Linked DNA regions of Anolis sagrei. The protein of the gene in region 2 purifies or fractionates together with the protein of the main gene of each other region. This does not show direct contact. Links are inferred from orthologs where the notes say so. Each region holds a gene or a part of one and is shown on either strand. Other genes may lie near its edges.

Region 1 (7,607 bases), on a different chromosome or scaffold from region 2:
GGAGCTGGGCTAACAGCAAGAGCTCATGCCGCTTCAAGGATTCGAATCTGTGACCTTTCGATCAGCAAGTTCGGCAGCTCAGTGGTTTAAACCACCATGCTACTGGGGGCTCCAATATGTGGTAATCCTATATGTAGAAAGCAGTAGACGAATGCTTGCATTTTGGATTGTTTTTGTTGTTGTTATTATTATTATTATTCACCCAACTTTCCCTCAAGGCAAGGGACAATACACTTAAAATATATAGATAACAAGATCATTAAAACATTTATAAAATAGACTCTCAACTAACTAGCAAAAGAAATCAAAGAAATTACATAGAATTCACAAAACTGTTTTTACAATACAATAAAACTGTGATAAATTAAGCTTCTCTTTATCTTTCCTAAATGACTTTCCATTGCTGTATTTCAATATTAATATTGTCAATACAGAGTTTATGATATGATATGGTACAGAATAGCGTAGAATATGAGGCCTATTTTTACTAGTAACTCTCAAGCAACCAGAAACCACATTTATTTGACATTTATACTGTTTTTTATTGATGGCATTGAATTGTTGCGAACACTGTGAACTACTCTAAGTGCTCTTCGGGGTTGAGAAGGGTGGTATACAAATACTGCAAATAAATAAATAAATACATCTACCAATCCCTGTGGGTGCCAGTTAACTGAGATTCTAGGAGCTCCCAGTGGCACAATGGGTAAAACTCTTGTGTTGGCAAAACTGCTGACTGAAAAGTCGGCGGTTCAAATCTGAGGAGCAGGGTGAGCTTCCATCTGTCAGCTCCAGCTTCTCATGCTGGGACATGAGAGAAGGCTGCCACAGGATAGTAAAACATCCAAGTGTCCCCTTGGAAATGTCCTTGCAGATGACCAATTCGCTCACACCAGAAGCAACTTGCAGTTTCTCAAGTTGCTCCTGACACAAAAAAACCTCTCAAAGTCTACAGTATTATGTATATACTTGTTGGCATTGCATATTTGCCTTTTATGTTGTCAGACGCTCTGAGTCCCATGTTGGGAGGTGGGCGGGATATCAAGTTTTATTATTATTATATTACATAGCAGAGGTGAGATTAAAAACACGTTAAGATCATTTGTACCAAGTGTTTGCCTTTGACAATGAGGCAGGTCCACCAACGACTCCACCTTTGCTTTGAGAAATACCCCCAGACCTTCAACCCCAGTGCTCTTGCAGTTTTGGACTCTCAGTTCCCAGAAGCCTCCGCTGTCAGGGCCAATGAGCAGGGATTCTGGTAGCTGGAGTTCAAAACACCTGGGAGACCAGCGTTTGGGAGACAAGGTTCCAGACCAGAGCAGGATTTCTCCCTCTCCCTCTACATATATACTCTGTGTGTGTACAGAGAGAGTGTATATAGTGTGTGTGTATATGTATGTGTATATATACACACATATACATCTCTCTGTGTGTGTACCAGTAATGAGTAAACTTTGCCCCTCCAGGTGTTTTGGACTCCAACTCCCACAATTCCTAACAGCTTACCAGTATGCATTCATACTGTGTGTATGTATATACCAGGCATGCACAAACTTGCGTCCTCCAGGTGTTTTGGACTTCAATTCCCACAATTTCTAATGTATTTGTACGTGTATGTGTGTGTATACACATACACTTACATGTGTGCATGCATACTGCATGTATGCCGGCTGTTAGGAAAACACCTGGAGGGCCAAAGTTTGACCATTCCTGGTATATATACACACACACATGAATGCATGCATACTGTGTGTGTGTGTGTGTGTGTGTGTGTGTATATATATATATATATATATATATATATACCAGGCCTGGGAAAAATTGGGCCCTCCAGGTATTTTGGACCTCATCTCCCACAATTCCTAATGCATCTGTATGTGTATCTATGTGTATACACACACATACACTTACATGGGTGCATGCATATTGCTCACTTCGGCAGCACATATACTAAAATTGGGATGATACAGAGAAGATTAGCATATTGTGTGTATGCCGGCTGTTAGGAATTCTGGGGGCTGAAGTCCAAAACACCTGGAGGGCTGAAGTTTGCCCATTTCTGGTGTATATATATATATATATATACACACACAAGCATGCATTATTGGCCCTCCTGGTGTTTTGGACTTCAACTCCCACAATTCCTAATCTATGTGTGTGTGTATGCATGCATACTGTGTGTATGCTGGCTGTTAGGAATTGTGGGAGCTGAAGTCCAAAACACCTGGAGGGCCGAAGTTTGCCCATGCCTGGTATGCATGTATATGTGTGTGTGTGTGTGTGTGTGTGTGTGTACATACACACGCACACACAAGCATGCATGCTTGGGCCCTCCTGGTGTTTTGGACTTCACTCCCACAATCCTAATGTGTGTGTGTGTATGCATGCATACTGTGTGTATGTCGGCTGTCAGGAATTGTAGGAGCTGAAGTCCCAAACACCTGGAGGGCGAAGTCTGGGATATAGTCTAAAGATGCTTTTGGATAACGGGGAGAGGTAAACAGGGATGTCCCCAATGAGCTGATATCTTGACCAAGGTTGGGGTGGGTTCCTCCTTGCTGCCATGGGGAGGGGGGAGGGGGGCATTTGGGAGACCCCGAGGGAGGGCTTTAAAAGACTGGCCCCAAAGAAGGGGCGTCCTAGAGGCGCAAGAGCAGCGCTCATGGGGCTCCTGCCTGGATGGGAAGCGCTGGGAGGGCGCTCTCAGGACCGGACCCCTTCCCTTCCTCCCTCCCTCCCTCCTTCTCCGCGGCGCCCCCCTGGGAGATACTCAGCTCTTGACTTTGCCGAAGGTGCCGACGCCCAGCGTGTCCCCCAAAACGTAGTGCCCGATCTTGACGCGCCCGTCGTGCTTCTGCGGCGGCGGAGGCTTCTCTGCCATCTTCGCTGCTCCTGCCGCTTCTGCTGCTGCTGCTGCTGCTCTTGGCAGCTTTGCCTCCGCCGACACCGGCCGGGCCGGACCACAATGCAGCAGGGCCGGCGGCAAAGGCGGCGGGGAGGGATGGGGAGGGCGGCGGGGAAAGGAGGAGGCAGCAGGCGAGGAGAGGCAGCAGCAACAGCCAAGGCAGCAGCAGAGCCCAGAGGTGGGGAAGGGAAGGGGAGGGAGAGAGGTGGGCAGGTACGCAGGAGAAGAGGCGGGAAGGCATTTCTTCTCCCTGGGGATGGCTAAAACATGTCTCTCTCTGTGTGTGTTTTCTCTCATTTATTCATATATTTTTTCTAATTACACTATGCAACACGACTTTTTTTGGTCCTGGTTTATCAATGTCATTTCCTAATTGGTTCAGTCATAAAATATGTGGAAAGTTGTCTTGGCTGGAATCACTGTGTTGTTTTGTCTTGGCTGGAATCACTGGGTTGCTGTGAGTTTTGGGGCTATATGGCCATGTTCCAGAAGCATTCTCTCCTGACGTTTCACTCACATCTATGGCAGGCATCCTCAGAGGTTGTGAGGTCTGTTGGAAACGAGGCAAGTGGGGTTTATATATCAGTAGAATAATCTCTAGGGTGGGAGAAAGAGCTTTTCATAGAATCAAAGAATCAAAGAGTTGGAAGAGACCTCATGGGCCATCCACAGTCCAACCCCCTGCCAAGAAGCAGGAATATTGCATTCAAATCACCCCTGACAGATGGCCATCCAGCCTCTGTTTAAAAGCTTCCAAAGAAGGAGCCTCCACCACACTCCAGGGCAGAAAGTTCCAATGCTGAACGGCTCTCACAGTCAGGAAGTTTTCTCTGCTTGAGGCAAGTGTAGATGTTGCCATTGGCCGCCTTAATTAGCATTGAACGGCCTTGCAGCTTCAAAGCATGGCTAGGGGGAATCCTTTGTTTGGAGGTGTTAAAGGTAAAGATGTATTGTCAAAGGCTTTCACAGCTGGAATCACTGGGTTGTTGTAGGTTTTTTTCAGGCTATATGGCCATGTTCTAGAGGCATTCTCTCCTGATGTTCTAGAGAATGCCTCTAGAACATGGCCATATAGCCTGAAAAAACCTACAACAACCCAGTAAAGGTAAAGGCTTCCCCTTGACATTAAGTCTACTTGTGACTGATTCTGGGGGCTAGTGCTCATCTCCATTTCTAAGCCAAAGAGCCGCCATTGTCCATAGACATCTCCTAGGTCGTGTGGCCAGCATGACTGCATGGAGCGCCCTTACCTTCCTGCCAAATCAATTGATCTACTCACATTTGCATGTTTTTGAACTGCTAGGTTGGCAGAAGCTGGGACTAACAACAGGAGCTCACCCTGTCCTGTGGATTCAAACTGCCAACCAGCTTAGCTGTTTAACTCACTGCACCCTAATCAGGACAGTAAATAAAGAACAACACTCAGAAAACAGGGGAATTCCAGATAAGAAACAACCAGGGCCAGCTAACTCATCCCAACAAATTTTCCCCGGGCAGCAACCAGCCAGGCTTTGAAGTTGCAAGGCCATTCAATGCAAATCAAGTTGGGCAGTTGCAACATTCACACTTGCCTCAAGTAGACAAGACTTCTTTCTTCTACCCTGGACATGCCACAGATATATAAACTGCACTTGCCTAGTTTCCAACAGACCTCACAAATTTCTGAGGATGCCTGCCATAGATGTGGGATGAAACATCAGGAGAAAATGCTTCTGGAACATGGCCATACAGCCTGGAAAACTCACAGCAACCCAGTTTATTACATTGCAAAAACTGTGTTTTTTGCAGGACACCCTGCAGCACATTTTGCTAGAGTTTTGCAATGAATGTCTCATCAGGTCTCAACCAATTCAACATAGTTTGTGGAAGCCACAAAAATGAAGATCCTGGACTACAACAACTACTTTCAAAGTAAGTACCACACAATTAAACAGGAAATAACACTTTCAAACCAGGAACAGATTTTTATTTTTCAAATATTGTTACATAGTGTTATTAGAAGCAGTCATAGTTTTTGGATTTTATGAATAGTCTCATTAGGAAATGCATAAGGATGGGGATAGATTACAAATCCCATCGTCATCTGTCATTGCCCCCAAATGGTGCCTGTAGTTAAAGTTGATCATGATGGGTAAGTGTTCCAAGTTTGATTGATTGCATTCATGGTGCTCCCTGGACATGGGTGGACTGCAATTCCCATCATTTCTGTCATTGGCCAACCCCACCAGTACTTAAAGATGGGGATGTGTGCCATGTTTGGTACAGATCCATCATTGGTGGAGTTCAGCATCCTCTTTGACTGAGTGAACAACAACTCCCAGCATCCAAGGTCAACCCCCCACCCCTACCAGTACTTAAAGCTGGTCATGATGCTTATTTATGCTAAGTTTTGTCCAGTCTTAGAATCACAGGTGTACTTTATGTATTTTTGTAGGTGATACTGGAATAAGGATGCATCTTACAATTGATGGTGTCTCACAATTGAAGAAATATGGTATATAGAAAAAAATACAGCTAAAATCAACAGCAACAAAGAAATTTACAATGACTTCCAACATTCCTTATGATTATAAGTGAAATAACTGTATATAAAATCCTACTCTCCAGCAAAGGATCACCGCCTTGTCGGGGCGCTGGAGCTTGAGCACCTCAATGATGTCATGAGCAAAACCGTGAAGGGCCACCCAAGACGGGACGGTTGTGGCAGAGAGGTCAGACCAAGCATGATCCCTGGGGAAGGCAATGGCAAACCACTCCAGTATCCTTGCCAAGAAAACTAAATGGACCAGTACAACCAGAGATATGTCGGTATGCCATTGGAAGATGGGACTCCCAGGTCGGAAGATGGCCAAAATGCTACTGGGGAGGAGCAGAGGATAAGTTCAACTAGCCCCAGATGTGATGACGCAGCTAGCTCAAAGCCGAAAGGAAGGCTAGCTGCCGACGGTACTGGAGGTGAACGACGAATCCGATGCTCTAAAGATCAACACACCATAGGAACCTGGAATGTAAGATCTATGAGCCAGGGCAAATTGGATGTTGTTATTGGTGAGATGTCAAGACTAAAGATAGACATTCTGGGGGTCAGCGAACTGAAATGGACTGGAATGGGCCACTTCACATCAGAGGACCACCAGATCTACTACTGCGGAGAAGAGGAACATAGAAGAAATGGAGTAGCCTTCATAATTAATAAGAAATTCGCTAAAGCAGTGCTTGGATACAACCCAAAAAATGACAGAATGATCTCAATTCGAGTGCAAGGAAAGCCTTTACACATTACAGTGATCCAAATATACGCCCCAACCACAGCTGCTGAAGAAGCAGAAGTAGATCAGTTCTATGAGGATCTGCAGGACCTACTGGATAATACACCAAAAAGAGACATTATTTTCATTACGGGAGACTGGAATGCCAAGGTGGGAAGTCAAGTGACAACTGGGATCACAGGCAAGCATGGTCTGGGAGAACAAAATGAAGCGGGACGCAGGCTGATAGAATTTTGCCAGGAAAACTCGCTGTGTATAACGAATACTCTCTTCCAACAACCTAAAAGACGGCTTTACACATGGACCTCACCAGATGGTCAACACCGAAATCAGATTGACTACATCCTTTGCAGCCAAAGGTGGTGGACATCCATCCAGTCGGTGAAAACAAGACCTGGGGCTGACTGTAGCTCAGATCACGAACTTCTTATTGCACAATTTAGAATAAAACTAAAGAGATCAGGGAAAATACACAGACCAGTTAGATATGATCTCACTAACATTCCTAGCGAATATACAGTGGAAGTGAAGAACAGATTTGAAGGACTAGATTTAGTAAACAGAGTCCCAGAAGAACTATGGACAGAAGTCCGCGACATTGTTCAGGAGACGGCAACAAAGTACGTTCCAAAGAAAAAGAAAACCAAGAAGGCAAAATGGTTGTCTGCTGAGACACTGGAAGTAGCCCAAGAAAGGAGGAAAGCAAAAGGAAACAGGGATAAGAGGAGATATGCCCAGTTAAATGCGCAATTCCAGAGGTTAGCCAGAAGAGATAAGGAACTATTTTTAAATAAGCAATGCATGGAAGTGGAAGAAGACAACAGAATAGGAAGGACAAGAGACCTCTTCCAGAAAATTAGAAACATTGGAGGTAAATTTCAGGCAAAAATTGGTATGATAAGAAACAAAGATGGCAGGGACCTAACAGAAGCTGAAGAGATCAAGAGAAGGTGGCGAGACTATACAGAAGATCTGTATAGGAAGGATAATAATATTGAGGATAGTTTTGACGGTGTGGTGAATGAATTAGAACCAGACATCCTGAGGAGTGAGGTTGAATGGGCCTTAAGAAGCATTGCTAACAACAAGGCAGCAGGAGACGACAGGATCCCAGCTGAACTGTTTAAAATCTTAAAAGATGATGCTGTCAAGGTGATGCATGCCATTTGCCAGCAAATATGGAAAACACAAGAATGGCCATCAGACTGGAAAAAATCAACTTATATCCCCATACCAAAAAAGGGAAATGCGAAAGACTGCTCAAACTTCCGTACAGTGGCCCTTATTTCTCATGCCAGTAAGGTAATGCTCAAGATTCTGCAAGGAAGACTCCAGCAATACATGGAGCGAGAGTTGCCAGATGTTCAAGCTGGGTTTAGAAAAGGCAGAGGAACGAGAGACCAGATTGCCAATATCCGCTGGATAATGGA
Region 2 (7,839 bases):
CAGCCCATAGGATGAATATGGATTCAGGGCCCTTCCACACAACCCTGTATCACAGAATATCAAGGCAGAAAATCCCACATTATCTGAGTTGGACTCGGATAACCCAATTCAAAACAGATATTGTGGGTTCTTGTGGGTTTTTTCGGGCTATATGGCCATGTTCTAGAGGCATTTCTCCTGACGTTTCGCCTGCATCTATGGCAGGCATCCTCAGAGGGTGAGGGTTTTTCTGCCTTGATATTCTGGGATGCATGACTGTGTGGAAGGGCCCTCAGTTTGGCTCCTTGTCAGTACTGTTTGTAGCTATTGGTGATGTCTATATATCAGCTCCAGCGATGTATTCAGTATCCTAGATAGACAGGTATTCCTCTGTCCTGCTGGTGGGCTTCCCCAAATGATGTAGGGCCCTTCCACACAGCTATATAACCCAGAATAACAAGTCCCTTTGCTACTTCTGACAGCAAGCTGTCTCAGGCTAGCCTCAGCCGAAGGAACACAAGCAGGGTACTCTCAGGGTCCTTCCACACAGCTATATAACCCAATATCTTCTTTGAACTGGGTTATCAGTCCACATTGCCATATATCCCTGTTCAAAGCAGAAATTGTGGGATTTTATTCAGCTGTGGCTATAGTTAGTTATCTGCTATGATAAAGGAATAACAGGCCTTTGATCTGAGTCAGTAGGGCTCTTCATATGATTTTTTAAGCAAAGGATGCTAAATGTATTGGTCACAGAGGAAAATCCTTTTGATCATTTATGAAAACCATCTCACATACACATGCACACTCTGTAATGTCCTAGTTTCAACATGTTATATAAGTGCTCAGCTTCTACTATGACATGACCCTGATATATAGTAGAACTTGGCATCTCATGAAGAGTTAGGACTGGGCAGCCAAGGTACGCCTCTTACTTGTGATCTGACCCCAAAGTTACTCCCAAAATTCAAAATCTACAAAAGAGCAATACTTTCATTAAATGGATCTTTATAAACCACATCGCCACTAAGTTTGCAGATTTATTTTTAACAGCCTTATACAACGAATATCAGGTGTTGTAGGTTATATTTCACCACCTCTGAGTATTCCTTGCCTAAGAAAACAGTATAAAATAAATGGGTTACCATAAATAAATCAATAGGCAACTTGAAGGGTTGTGTATACACACACATATTAGATGGTTTACAAAATGACTAGATGTTTTAGAGGAGTTTTTAATATATCAAAGATCTGGTATTCGTTGTATTTTTCTACCTGGCTACCCTCTGAATGTGTTTCCAAGAACTGAAACTGCTCGACACTGTTGGAAAGTGTATGTGTCTGTACAAATCTAGTTCTTCACACTTGCCTCCAGCAGACAAGACTTCTTTCTCCCACCCTGGACATTCCACAGATATATAAACCCCACTTGCCTAGTCTCCCAACAGACCTTAGAACTGGGTTGTTGTAGGTTTTTTCAGGCTATATGGCCATGTTCTAGAGGCATTCTCTCCTGATGTTTCGCCTGCATCTATGGCAAGCATCCTCAGAGGTAGTGAGGTCTGTTGGAACTAGGAAAATGGGTTTCCTCTGAGGATGCTTGCCATAGATGTAGGCAAAACATCAGGAGAGAATGCCTCTAGAACATGGCCATATAGCCCAAAAACCATACAACAACCCAGTGATTCCGGCCATGAAAGCCTTTGACAAGACCTTAGAACCTCTGAGGATGCCTGCCATAGAAGTGGGTGAAATGTCAGGAGATAATGCTTCTGGAACATGGCCATACAGCCTAGAAAACTCACAGCAAACTCACAGCCTGAAAGGCTTTGATATCACAATCTAGTTCTTGATACCATTTTGGATTATATACCAGTAATAAGAGCACTGATCCACAGTATGCTGGCTACATCGAGTTTTTTTTTTAAAACAAACCAGGTGAATTATTAGTAAACACTGGAAATCTAACATTCCCTTTAAATCTACATAAATGTTATTTGGCAGCCAAGAAACAAGTAGCCTGGAAAATGAGAGACACAGTGGCTCTTTGAGTACCAAGTACTGTATACTTATACTCAAGTATAATCCTAGATTTTCAGCACATTTTTAATGCTGAAAAAGGTCCCCTCGACATACTCGAGTGAAGGTACTGGTGGGAAGGTGTGGGGCTGAAAGAAGCACTTTGCAAGGCTTCTACCAGCTGCTTGCCTTCTCCCCTTTCGGCACAGCAATTTAGTTGGATCTCTGTGCCTAGAGAGGAGGAAAGGAAGGCGTGCGACCTCTCCTCTCAGCACTGCTGTGGATTGCTTTGCCGAGAGGAGAAGCTGTATGTCACAATTAATGCAATTTTATTGGTATCTATTTTTATTTTGAAACTTACCAGTAGCTGCTGCATTTCCCACCCTTGGCTTATACTCAAGTCAGTAAGTTTTCCCAGTTTTTTGTGGTAAAATTAGGTGCCTCGGCTTATATTCGGGTTGTCTTATACTTGAGAATATACGATACCTTCCACACCACTAAATCAGGGTAGACAATTGTGGCCTTCTAGATTATGAGAAGCTCCCATAATCCTTCACTGGCTAGGGCTGATGGTAGCCACAATGTATCAAAATCTATAGGCCCGCACTTTGGCGACCCCTGTTCTCAATGTTTTGGCCATGCTATAGTTGAGATTGAATGTGCTGTCAATTGCTGGATCCCAAAAATGGGTGGATGGTTTAAAAAGAACAGAATAACTTCCACGCAGGCACGCAGGCTACAGCTCCCCCCTCGAAATTCTGATGGTGGTCCGCGAGAAGGCCTTACTGGTACATTATTTAAACTGTTATGTTTATTCATATCATGATCTGATCACCATGCTCGATATATCCCATATGCATGGGGTATTGGGGTAGACCCTCTTTCACTCAGACTCAGCCCCCCCCCCGAACCAAACTCAGCCCCCCCGTCCCCAAACAAAATCCTGGCTACGGGCCTGCTTCCACGGTTTTCTTTTACTTTTTTAAAAGCAGGATTTTAATGTATAGGGGAAAGAGTTCTTTTATTTTCTTGTGATGTTTAGCTTTTAACACTTTTCTCTGTTTTGAAACTGATTTCAAAATGAAGATGAATTGATTTGCATCATTTTATATTTTCACTGCAAATATTACAGTGATCGGAAACTGCCTGGCATGCTGTTGTACTGTAAACCTGAGTTTACAAAACATTTCATGTTGGTGAGGCACCATTTTAGGCATCTATAATTTTGTGAGTTATTCAGTTTTACTAGAAACCCAGAGGTTAAACCAACCCCTTATAAGAGATATGGACAGCCGCAGTGGTGCAATGGGTTAAATCCTTGTGCCAGCTGAACTGCTGACCTGAAGGTCGGTGGTTCGAATATGCAAGACAGGGTGAGCTCCTGTCTATCAGCTCCAGCTTCCCATGCAGGGACATGAGAGAAGCCTCCCACAGGATGGCATTCCCTGGGCAAAGTCCCTAGAAACGGCCAATTCTCTCACACCAGAAGCGACTTGCAGTTTCTCAAGTTGCTTCTGACACACACAAAAAAAAACATATGTAAATTGCAATAACGACATGCATGGGGACATGGCATAACTCATGAAAACCTTTCCTTTCTATTTTGAAATGTAGATTATCATGGATTGCTTATTTCATATAAACACAGAGGTATTTGCAAAACACACTGACACACTGCAGCTGACACACGAACAGATCCTGATTTTTGGGAAGCTCTGCTGTAAATAGATGCAGCTTGGCAACACTTTTGCTGCATCACCTCCTCTGACTGGTGCCTCATTAGACTGCAACTGGTGTAATTCCTTAGGCCAGTGTTTCTCAACCTGGAGGTCGGGATCCCTGGGGGGAGGGTCATGAGAGGAATGCCAGAGGGGTCGCCAAAGACCATCAGAAAACACAGTATTTTCTGTTGGTCATGAGTGTTCTGTGTGCCAAGTTTGGTTCAATTCCATCATTGGTGGGGTTCAGAATGCTCTTTGATTGTAGGTGAACTATAAATCCCAGCAACTACAACTCCTAAATGTCAAGGTCTATTTCCCCTAAACTCCACTAGTGTTCCCATTTGGACATATTGAGTATTTGTGCCAAGTTTGGTCCAGATCCATCATTGTTTGAGTCCACAGTGGTCTCTGGATGTAGGTGAACTACAACTCCAAAACTCAAGGTGACTGGCCAGCAAAACCTTCCAATATTTTCTGTTGGTCATGGGAGTCCTGTGTGCCAAGTTTGGTTCAATTCCATCGTTGGTGGAGTTCAGAGTGCTCTTTGTAGGTGAACTATATATCCCAGCAACTACAACTCCCAAATGTCAAGGTCTATTTCCCCTAAACTCCACTAGTGTTCCCATTTGGACATATTGAGTATTTGTGCCAAGTTTGGTCCAGATCCATCATTGTTTGAGTCCACAGTGGTCTCTGGATGTAGGTGAACTACAACTCCAAAACTCAAGGTGAGTGGCCAGCAAACCCTTCCAATATTTTCTGTTGGTCATGGGAGTTCTGTGTGGCCAAGTTTGGTTCAATTCCATCCTGAGTGGAGTTCAGAATGCTCTGATTGTAGGTGGACAATAAATCCCAGCAACTACAACTCCCAAATGACAAAATCAAAACAGTGTTCAAATTTGGGCGTTTCGGGTATTTGTGCCCAATGTGGTCCAGTGAATGAAAATTCATCCTGCGTATCAGATATTTACATTACAATTAATAACAGTAGCAAAATTTGTTATGAAGTAGCAACGAAAATAATGTTATGGTTGCGGGTCACCACAACATGAGGAAGTGTATTAAGGGGTCGCGGGAATAGGAAGGGGGGGGAACCACTGGCCTAGGCAGTCCAAGCGGTGCCAAGCTGCGTTCGTGCCACGGTGCAGATGCGCTCCCTCTTTCTCCCCGGCCTGGGGCGCAGCTCTGTCCGGGCGCCTTCTGACCCTTCTGGAAGTGCGGGGGTGGCCGAGGGGCGGCGGGGCGGGCCTTCCCTCTCTCCTCCCCCTCCGCTCCGCCCTCCCCTCCGCTGCCCGTGTGTTTATGCCAGGCCCACCCCACCGCCCCGCCGGACGCCCCAGCGCCTCGGCCCTTCGCCCGAAAGAGGAGCCATGGAGAGGCAGGAGGACGCGGCCTCGGAGCAGGTAAGGCGCACTTGGCTGCCAGCCCCGGCCGAGGAGCCCAAGGGGACGCCCTCCAGCCCCGGGGCGCCTCCAGACACGGCCTGCCTCTCGCCACGCACACGCCGCCGCCCGCCCGCCCTCTACACCAGGGCTTCTCCACCTGCCTAACGCCGCGACCCCTTAATACAGTTCCTCATGTGGTGGTGACCCCCAACCATAACATTATTTTCGTTGCTACTTCATAACCGTAATTTTGCTTCTGTTATGAGTCATCATGTAAATATCTGATATGTATTTTCATTCACTGCACCAAATTTGGCACAAATACCCGATACCCCCCAAATTGGAATACTGGTGGGGTTAGATACGGGGTTGATTTTGTCATTTGGGAGTTGTAGTTGCTGAGATTTATAGTTCACCTACAATCAAAGAGCATTCTGAACCCCACCAATGATAGAATTGATCTAAACTTGGCATACAGGACTCCCATGATCAACAGAAAATACTGGAAGGGCTTAGTGGGCTTAACCTTGAGTTTGGGAGTTGTAGTTCACCTACGTCCAGAGAGCACTGTGGACTCAAACAATGATGGATCTGGACCAAACTTGGCACAGATACTCAATATGCCCAACTGTGAACACTGGTGGAGTTTGGGGGGAAATAGACCTTGACATCTGGGAGTTGTAGTTGTTGGGACTTATAGTTCACCTACAATCAAAGAGCATTCTGAACCCCACCACCAACAGAATTGGACTCCCATGATCAACAGAAAATACTGGAAGGGCTTAGTGGGCTTGACATTTTCATTGATCAATCCCACTGGCCAAGCTTTGTAGATATGGATGATTTAGATTCAATTTAGTGACAAATCCCATCTGACAAATCTCTTTCTGTCTTGCACCAGGCCTTGTTTCAAGGGAAGGGTCTTTCTAACTATTGATGCCAGTTTTTGCCAGATCCTTTCTCTCAGGTCCCAGGGCTAACCTCACCTGAGCAGGTATTTGATGGTACAGTTGACTCTCCATACCAAAGGTTTTGGCGTCCATGGGTGCAACCATCCATAACCATCCCCCACTTAAATCCAAAAATCCAAAAAGTGAATGTTGAGGGCTGTTTCCTGTCATGGTCATGGGGAGTGTAAAAAAAGTTTCAGGGGGTTGGGCTAGGTGGCCCATGTGGCCTCTTCCAGCTCTATGATTCTATGATGCTATGACTTCATAGAAAGGAAAATCAGTCTTCTTTACAAGCATTGCAAATGCTGAATTATATCAGTAGTTGTTTGATTTTATACTTATTTTTAATACTTATATACTTGTGTAAAAATTTATCTGGCAGAAAGACATTTTGAGTGCAAAAAGTTTTAGAAGCCCTTAGCCAACATTTTAAAAATGAATTTAATGCCCTTTTTAATTTATGATAGCTTAGGAATGGAAACTTAGTCTGCAGGTTTCTTCTCTCAGGATAGCATTCTCATTGGAAATACTCCAGACTTGTAACATCTGCTGCACAGATCCCAATTCAGCATGGCATAGGCAATCTCTGTGTAATACCATCCGTTTGTGTTCCACTCCTAGGCATTACCACTGAACAATGGTCTCCAGCATCAGGAAGCAGGTGGGTAGTATGTTGGCTTTGCCTGCCGCTGGTGGAGTGACTTCTCCCAAGTACAGACTTCACTGCCTGTCATCCGCCTGTCATCTGTCTGTGCCCAGAGGATTGCTTTGGATACTAACTACCTGTTTTGGGACTTCTTCAAAAACTGCTAATCAATAACAGCACGATTTTGTACATATGCAGTCAGAGACATTACTTCATGCTCTTGCTGTTTGCCCTGTTTAGCCAGGATGGTGCCTTTCTGCCTAAACAATTGTTTCCATTGTACTACTTCATCACACTAGAGAAAAATGCACTTAAAATCCAGTTTCTGCCTCCTGCAGAATTCTGGGAGTTGTAGTTTAGGGAGGCTGTTAAAGGCTCCTTCCTAAACTTCAAACCCCTGAAACTTCAAACCCCTTAAAATCTGGTTTCTGCAAGAGGCAGAAACCGAATTTTAAGTGGATTTATTCTCTCATGTCTGGTATTGTGATCTGTCCCAGTATCCAAGTTCCACTTTCCTCGTTATTATGGTGTGGGGAATTCTAGTTTTGATGGAATTGATGCCATCTAATGTAATAAACAGATAATTAGAATAGAATCTGGAAGACCCAAATCCAAAATTCAGATTCCCCATCACAGCAATATTTTCCAGCCTCTGTTTTCTATCTGTCAAATGACAACCTACCTCACAGGGTTGTTGTGAGGCCACTCAATAAAGATTATGTTGATGGATACATAAATGCTTTAATAACCATAAAGGCCTCTTTTTAAAAAATATTTTATTGATAATTTTTCAGGAGAGGTGGGAGGTGGATAAGGGGAGGAGAGAAGGGGGGAAATATAAGGGAAGAGATTGGGAAAGTAAGGGTAGGTAGGTAGGTAGGTAGGAAGGAAGAAAGGAAGGAAGGAAGGAAGGAAGGAAGGAAGGAAGGGGGAGAGCGAAGAAAAGAGAGAGGAGAAAAAGAAAAAAATGATCCAAAATATATAAAAAGTTGGGTTATAGTTTAAAAGAGAGAAAAATCAACACAAGAAAAAAACCAGGAAAAATAACTATTTAGAACTTCTTTCTTTATAGTGGGATAGGTGATAATAGGAAAAATAAAATAAAATAAATAAATAAACAATTGTCTGTTGTATTTAAC
Region 3 (7,359 bases), on a different chromosome or scaffold from region 2:
CATAGTAGTACACTATTGCCACATAATACCTGGGAGTTTAATTCAACAGGACTTGGTCCTGACTAGAAAAGGGCAAGATCTAGATTGAAAGAGAACTGTTAAGGTTTACTTTGTTTTTCCCCCTCAAAGCCCCTCAAAGTGCACCTGTATCAGGCCTGGGCAAACTTCAGCCCTCTGTGTTTTTGGACTTCAACTCACACAATGGCTGTTAGGAATTGTAAGAGTTGAAGTCCAAAACACCTTGAGGGCCAAAGTTTGCCCAGGCCTGATCTATATCATCAAATTAATGCTGTTTGCCATCACCTGAACTGCCATGGCTCAATGATATGAAATTCTGGGAGTTGTCATTTTACAAAGGCTTCCGCCATCTTTTCCAAAGAGTGCTTGTGCCTCACAAAAGTGCAAATTCCAGGATTGTGAAGCAATGAGCCATGGCAGTGCAAGAGGTGTCTAACTGAATTCATTCTATAATTGCAGAATTACATTATAGAATGAATTCAGTTTGACACCACTTTCAGCTGTTAGGAATTGTGAGAGTTGAAGTTCAAAACACCTGGAGGGCCCAATTTTGCCCATGCCTGATAGGTACACCCTTCATTACAGGTAGTCTCTTTGGCAAAGACGTCTAAGGACCTGGTAAAAGGATAACCTCCAGGATTTCATAACACTGAACAATTCAAGTGGTGTCAAACTGCTTTAATCTGACAGCACCCTCTGACAGAAACTAAACCAAGCAAAGACACTTCTCAATGTAGACCCTTCCTTCCTCTTCAGTGTAGTAGAATCACGAGTTGGAAGAGACCCCAAGGACCATCCAGTCCAACCCCTTTCTGCCATAAAGTTATATATATATATATATATATAGAGAGAGAGAGAGAGAGAGAGAGTCAGCTGCAACTTGAGAAGGTGCAAGTCCCTTCTAGTATGAGACAATTGGCTGCCTGCAAGGATGTTGCCCAGGGGACGCCCTAATGTTTTACCATCCTGTGGGAGGCTTCTCCAATTTACCTGCATGGGAAGCTAGAGCTCGCATATGGGCGCTTACCCACTCTTTTTTGATCAGCAGTTCAGCCGGCACAAAGATTTAACCCACTGCGCCACCACGGCTCCCCAAATAATAAGAATAATAAAGCTTTATTTATATCCCGCCTCTCTCCCCTTACAACAAGAAAAAAACAATACAGTGTTCCCTCACTTATTGTGGGGGTTACGTTCCAGGACCTCCAGCAATTAGTGAAAAACTGCAATGTAGAGATGCTGTATTTATATTAATATTTATACATTATTTTAGTAGGTATACATTATTTTAAGTCTTTATACACTTAAAATGAAGTGAAGGAAAGGCCCTTCAAGGGTGGAGGGAGGGAGGGAGGGAAAGCACCTCCGAGAGTGGCAATGGCAAAACCCCACAAAACAGTGAAAATACCATGATTTAATTTTAAATTAATATTTTTTGAAAATCATGTAACAGTTATTCCGTTAAACGTGAACCGCAAAGTAGCACATCTCCCTCTACGTAATGCATCTCCCTCTACGTCCCACCCCAGAGTGCGCTCGACCCCACCACTATCACAAGTGAGGCTGGTGGGGACGAGAAGCAGGGCCTTCTCAGTGGTGGCCCCTCACCTGTGGAACTTACTCCCGGGGGAAATTAGGTCATCAACATCCCTCCTCTCCTTCAGGAGGAAAGTAAAAACGTGGTTGTGGGACCAGGCCTTCAGGCAATCTGACAGCTAGATAAGGACAATCAGACGACTAGGACTGACAGGACTGACAAAGTGGAATTGGAAATTGGACTATGAGATGGCGAACGCGGTGCGTTAAATGTGTGAAATCGGGTTTTATTGGTTTTATAGTTGTAATGCAGAAACTGATTGCTAATTGTTTAGCTGCTGCTATGTTGTTTTTATTCTATTGTTATGTTGATGCCTTTGTAAGCCGCCCTGAGTCCCCTCCGGGCTGAGAAGGGCGGGGTAGAAGTAACCGAAATAATAATAAAATAATAGCGAGGGAACACTGTATACATAGTATCAATCACACTGACAATCCAAAAGGCAAAATCAAAGCAAACAGATCATAGAATCAAAGAGTTGGAAGAGACCTCATAGGCCATCCAGTCCAGCCCCTGTCAAGAAGCAGGAATATTGCATTCAAATCACCACTGACAGATGGCCATCCAGCCCGTTAGTCAAAAGGACAAATCGCAATACACAGAGAAAATAATCCCAATATAATTACAGCCCATAACATGCCCTGTACAAGTATAAAACATTACCACAATTAAAACATACAGTACCACTAAAGCAGGCCTGGGCAAACTTGGGCCCTCCAGGTGTTTTGGACTTCAACTCCCACAATTCCTAACAGCCTATCGGCTGTTAGGAATTGTGGGAGTTGAAGTCCAAAACACCTGGAGGGCCCAAGTTTGCCCAGGCCTGCACTAAAGCATTATGGACTCTGCTTTTATTGGTAAAAGGAATAAAACCCAATTGAAATACAAGAAGGCACAATCAAAGCAAACCCCACAGATGGCCATTCTGCCTCGATTTAAGACCCTCCATCACACTCCAAGGCATTATATTCCACAGTTGAACACTTCTCACTATCAAGAAATGATTGTCAATGTTTTAATTTCTTTCCCTGCCCGTTTGAATCCATTGCTATGCTTAGTAACCTCTCTTCAGGAGAAAGAAACCCACTGGAAGGCCTCAGGAAGGAAAGGGCACAGGCAGGCACCTTCCTCACCTTCACCACCCCACAGATCTCCATTGCCCAGGGAAGGGCGTGCTGCTTGGAAGGAGGACGCCTTTCTCCCCGCCCCGCGCCCCCCACAGCAACCCCTCCGAGGGCTCACCCTTGACTTTGCCGAAGGTGCCCACGCCCAGCGTGTCCCCCAAGATGTAGTGCCCGATCTTCACCCGCCCGTGCTCATGTTTCTGTTTATCCGCCGCCGCCATCTTGCGCCAAGAGCCCGCGCCTGCGCACTAGAGAGGCAGGGAGCGAGACTGACGAGGCTGGGTTTCCCCTCCCCTCCCAAAAGGAAAGGGGCGGGGCCAGGCGAGACTGAACAGGAGGAGGAGCAGCGTTGGCGGCATACAACCACAAAAGGGCCCGCCCGCCTCGAAAACAGGGATGCTGCAATACAGCTATCATATGGCCCTGGTACACTCAGCCGATGGGGACTCCAACTCCCAGAAGCCCCAGCTACCTCGGCCAATTGTGAGGAATTATGGGAATTGAAGTCCCAAAACCTGGAACTGAAATCCAAAAATTTTAGAAGACCACTGCACCGAACTGTTATAGAGCTATTATAATTGTATACATATTACATGTGATATATATTTCTGGTGGTGTTGCAGAATAATGATATAGTACAATATAATTAAATATAATACTAATATTGAGCTAGGTTCTTGTGGGTTTTTTCGGGCTATAGGGCCATGTTCTAGAAGCATTTCTCCTGACGTTTCGCCTGCATCCAAGAAGTAAGCATCTTCTGATTTCCTGGCCACAGTCTGCATCTGCAGTAATCTTTGCACCTAGAAATACAAAGTCTGTCACGGCCTCCACATTTTCTCCCTCTATTTTCCAGTTGTCAATCATTCTTGTTGCCATAATCTTGGTTTTTTTTATTATAAATTACTGTACTGGTTTATGCCAGAGCCTTTGCAGATTATTATTATTATTATTATTATTATTATTATACTGATACAAAAACACAGTATGACACAGCAAACGAAATATATATGCTGGATTTTGTATCACAAAATCACAAGTCGAACACTTCCCAAGGGTTTAGGACTGTGATATTATTATTTCAAAATGTTTAAAAGCAATGCTTTTGGATTTGGAAAGGTTAGCCGTTTATGAGAAACGTTGCCCGAGGGACGCCCAACTGTATTTACTTCGAGGAGGCTCTTTCCATGTCCCCTTGTGTGACTGTGGAGCAGAACAGGCAATTCTGCATCTGTATACTTGTCCATTGTGCCCTGCCTCATGTACAGGGGAGGAATTGTTGGAGGCGGCAGACAATGCCATCGCTGTTGCCCGTTTTTGGTCAAAAGATATTTAGCTGCCTGCACACCTTTTATTTTATCAGTTTTATACTAATTTATGCAATGATTTTGATACGGAATAAATAAATTATTATTTAGATTTAGTTGTGCATAACAACACAGCACAGAACACATGAGTTCCCTCGGGGAGGTAGGGCAGAATATAAATAAAGTATAGATCCCCCTTGAGGGGGTTTGCATGTTCCAATGAACCTGCAGGAATAACCATCGGAGTCATGTACTCCCAAGAGGGGCTGCAGGGGACCAAGCACAATCTAAAGACCTGAAGACCTCAATGGTGGATCAGGCAGAAGATAACATGGCATATGTTACAACAGCTGTGAATGCGGAAGAAGGCTGCAGCAGATTGAGAAACCACCATCATGTTAACCATGCCACTGGTTGGGACCTTCACTCCATGAAGACTGTGTGTTGATTGGCTGTGCACCAACCGCCACACATTAAAAAAAACTCAAGCACAGGCATCTTCCAAGAAAAATAAAACCCTTGGAAGGCTATCATATTCAGACATGGGATTGCCTAAGAAAAAGATAAATCAAGATGATGTTGATGATTAGGTCCAGGTGTCTGGGATTAATCTCTGAATATTGGACTCTTCCCGAGAGATTATTATTATTATTATTATTATTATTATTATTATTATTATTATTTCTCCACCCAAAACTACAAATCCCAGGATTCCATAGAATGTTGCCATGGTCGCTGAAGTGGAATAATACACGTTGGGCATCCCTTATTCCAGAATACTCCAATAATGTCCACATAGTTGGCTGAGAGTGACACCTTTGCTTTCCGAGAGTCCAATCCAATGTGTGCTAATGTCATTTAATACAAAAAAGTTATTTAAAATGTTGTATGGGTTTATGAGCATAAGGTGTATATGAAGCATAAATGAATTTTGTGTTGAGACTTGACTCCTATCTCCAAATAACTGGTAAACAGCAGAATAGAGTGGGACTGTGAATTCCTCAGTCTCAACACTATGGATACAGCCCAGAATCACATTAGTTTTTTAGCTGCTGCATGAACTGTTGGCTCATGTTCAGCTACTAAGACTCCTAGATCCCTTTCACGTGCAGTTTTCAAACCAGGTGCCACCCATCCTATACCTGTGTATTTAATTTTTGTTGCCTAAGTATAGTACCATACATTTCTCCCTGGAACTGTAACCAGAAATACTAGTAGAAATATCTTGGCATTTGACATCCATAATCTAATCAGCAATTGCTTGTCATTGTCCCAGATTCTCACCATCCAGTGCCTCACATTTTCAATAAGTAAATAAATCACAATACATCACAGATTCAGTTTGGGACTTGCAACATGCAACCCTCCTCCCATATGAGCTTGTTCAGGAACTGAACTCTCCAGTGACGGTATTGTCGCATTGTTCCACCATCCTGTGAAGTACACAGAAAACATCCTGGCACTTTAATTGTGGCTCCCCCTCCCAAGGGAAGTCAGGCAGGCTTCCTTGTTACTCAGCATCCGACAGACACTTAATGTTATTATCCTTCCAGGCCTTCAGCTTTTAATTGCTTTAATCTTGTTTCAAAGCATTTTTGTTCTTGCTGTGGATCTGATGGACAGAAAAGCAATTTATGAATACTTGTAAAACTTTTATTTTTAATCATCCTAGTTTCAAGGCATATATTTACTGCTGACTCATGGCTCCCATTCCCAAGTATTGAGGCAAAGACCAGTTTTTGCATGTCTGGCCAGCGACTTTACACCAGAGACCAGAAAAGGAAGGAAGGGGAAGAGAGAAACCAAATTGCACATTTCACCAGAAAACTGTCAGAAATACAATACAGCCATGCCTCCACATTTGCAGTTTGACTTTGATGAATATCTTTCTAGAAATCTCTCGATAAGAGCTCTCCAAACATTTCCTGTTGTTGACACACTTCTTAGATATCCATTTTGCGACACAATAATTCACCTTTATTAGAAAACGGGAGGTTAAACCAACCCCTTATAAGAGATACAATACATAAATTGTAATAATGAAATGTATGAGGACACAACATACCTCATGAAAACCTTCCATTTATATATTTAAAATATATGATGTATTATTTCAGATAGACTCGGAGGTTTATTGTTACATTTGTGTGAGAAACCTACGCACTGCAGCTGACATACTTAACGTGTCACGAACACAAAGCTCTACTCTAGATCCTCCAGTTCAATTCCATGATCAGCTTTCAGCAAAAGTTTATTTATTTAGTTATTTAGAACATTTATACCCCATACTTCTCAACCTCCAAAGAAGGACTCAGGATGCCTTCCAACAGGCAACTATTCGATACCGACACAATATAACAACATAACATAAAAGACAATGGGCATACATTAAAATAGTTATAAATATACATTGAAACAGTTTGCCAGTTCAAATTGTCATCCAAATCAGTCCATTGTGGTCCACTAAAACCTTATCTTCACCAATAAATCCGTCTATTCTGCAAACACTTGATCCCACAGCCAGGATGAGTTTCTTCCTGAAGACCAGGAGGGATGGGGAAGATCTTATCTCATAAGGGAGGGAGATCCACAGCTGGGGGGGCAACACAGAGAAGGCCCTGTCTCTCATCCTCACCAAATGCGACTGCGATGGTGGTGGGACCAAGATCAGGGCCTAGACAGATGATCTTAAGGTTCTTGGTGGTTCGTAGAGGGAGATACGCTCAGACAGGTAAAGTGAGCCTGGATCATTTTTATGGGTTTATAGGTTAAGACCAGCACTTTGAATTGTGCCCAGAAGCTAATAGGCAGCCAGTGAAGCTGGCGTAACAGGAGTTGCATGTACCCCACTCCTTTGAGCAACTTGGCCACCGAGTGTTGGGCTAGCTGAAGCTTCCAAGCAGTCTTCAGAGGCAACCCCATGTAGAATGTGTTGAAGTAATCTATTCAAGTCAAACCTCCCAAGATAACGGGGTAGCTGGTGCACAAGTTTTAATTGTGCGAAAGCTCTCCGGCCACCACCAAGACCTATATATTTCTAGAGAGGTGTTTTTTTCAGATCATAAAACAGTAATTTCTTTCATGGTTTTTCACTCTCATGGGGGTCCTATGCCCCTATTCCCAACAAGTATAGAGGACTGACTGTATTCACGGTCCTTCAGTAACAAGACAACACTAGGGTCCCTATCAAGCTATGCCATTATAGCACTATATTCCACTTTAGCTGCTATGACAACATCCTGTGGATTCTGGGGTTTGTAGTGCAGTCAGCTCTTCAGCTGAAACTTGGAAATGTCCCTCCATAAAATGCAAATCC

What was found. The genes of interacting proteins can lie anywhere in the genome.
Region 1: the proteins of PRKAG3 (region 2) and PRKAA2 purify together in Homo sapiens (affinity purification with mass spectrometry; 3 studies listed by BioGRID and IntAct, counting the BioPlex papers as one, with this or other methods). This does not show direct contact. The link is inferred for Anolis sagrei from reciprocal best matches to the Homo sapiens genes PRKAG3 and PRKAA2.
Region 3: the proteins of PRKAG3 (region 2) and PRKAA1 purify together in Homo sapiens (affinity purification with mass spectrometry; 3 studies listed by BioGRID and IntAct, counting the BioPlex papers as one, with this or other methods). This does not show direct contact. The link is inferred for Anolis sagrei from reciprocal best matches to the Homo sapiens genes PRKAG3 and PRKAA1.

Annotation. Positions count from the first base shown.
Region 1 is NC_090024.1:170,779,685-170,787,291, forward strand, and holds the start of PRKAA2 (5'-AMP-activated protein kinase catalytic subunit alpha-2), read right to left. Parts: upstream 3,013-7,607; 5' UTR 2,885-3,012; coding exon 2,779-2,884; intron 1-2,778. UniProt on the Homo sapiens protein: Catalytic subunit of AMP-activated protein kinase (AMPK), an energy sensor protein kinase that plays a key role in regulating cellular energy metabolism.
Region 2 is NC_090021.1:230,119,670-230,127,508, reverse strand, and holds the start of PRKAG3 (5'-AMP-activated protein kinase subunit gamma-3), read left to right. Parts: upstream 1-4,815; 5' UTR 4,816-4,867; coding exon 4,868-5,122; intron 5,123-6,675; coding exon 6,676-6,715; intron 6,716-7,839. UniProt on the Homo sapiens protein: AMP/ATP-binding subunit of AMP-activated protein kinase (AMPK), an energy sensor protein kinase that plays a key role in regulating cellular energy metabolism.
Region 3 is NC_090022.1:277,223,420-277,230,778, reverse strand, and holds the start of PRKAA1 (5'-AMP-activated protein kinase catalytic subunit alpha-1), read right to left. Parts: upstream 3,013-7,359; 5' UTR 2,958-3,012; coding exon 2,855-2,957; intron 1-2,854. UniProt on the Homo sapiens protein: Catalytic subunit of AMP-activated protein kinase (AMPK), an energy sensor protein kinase that plays a key role in regulating cellular energy metabolism.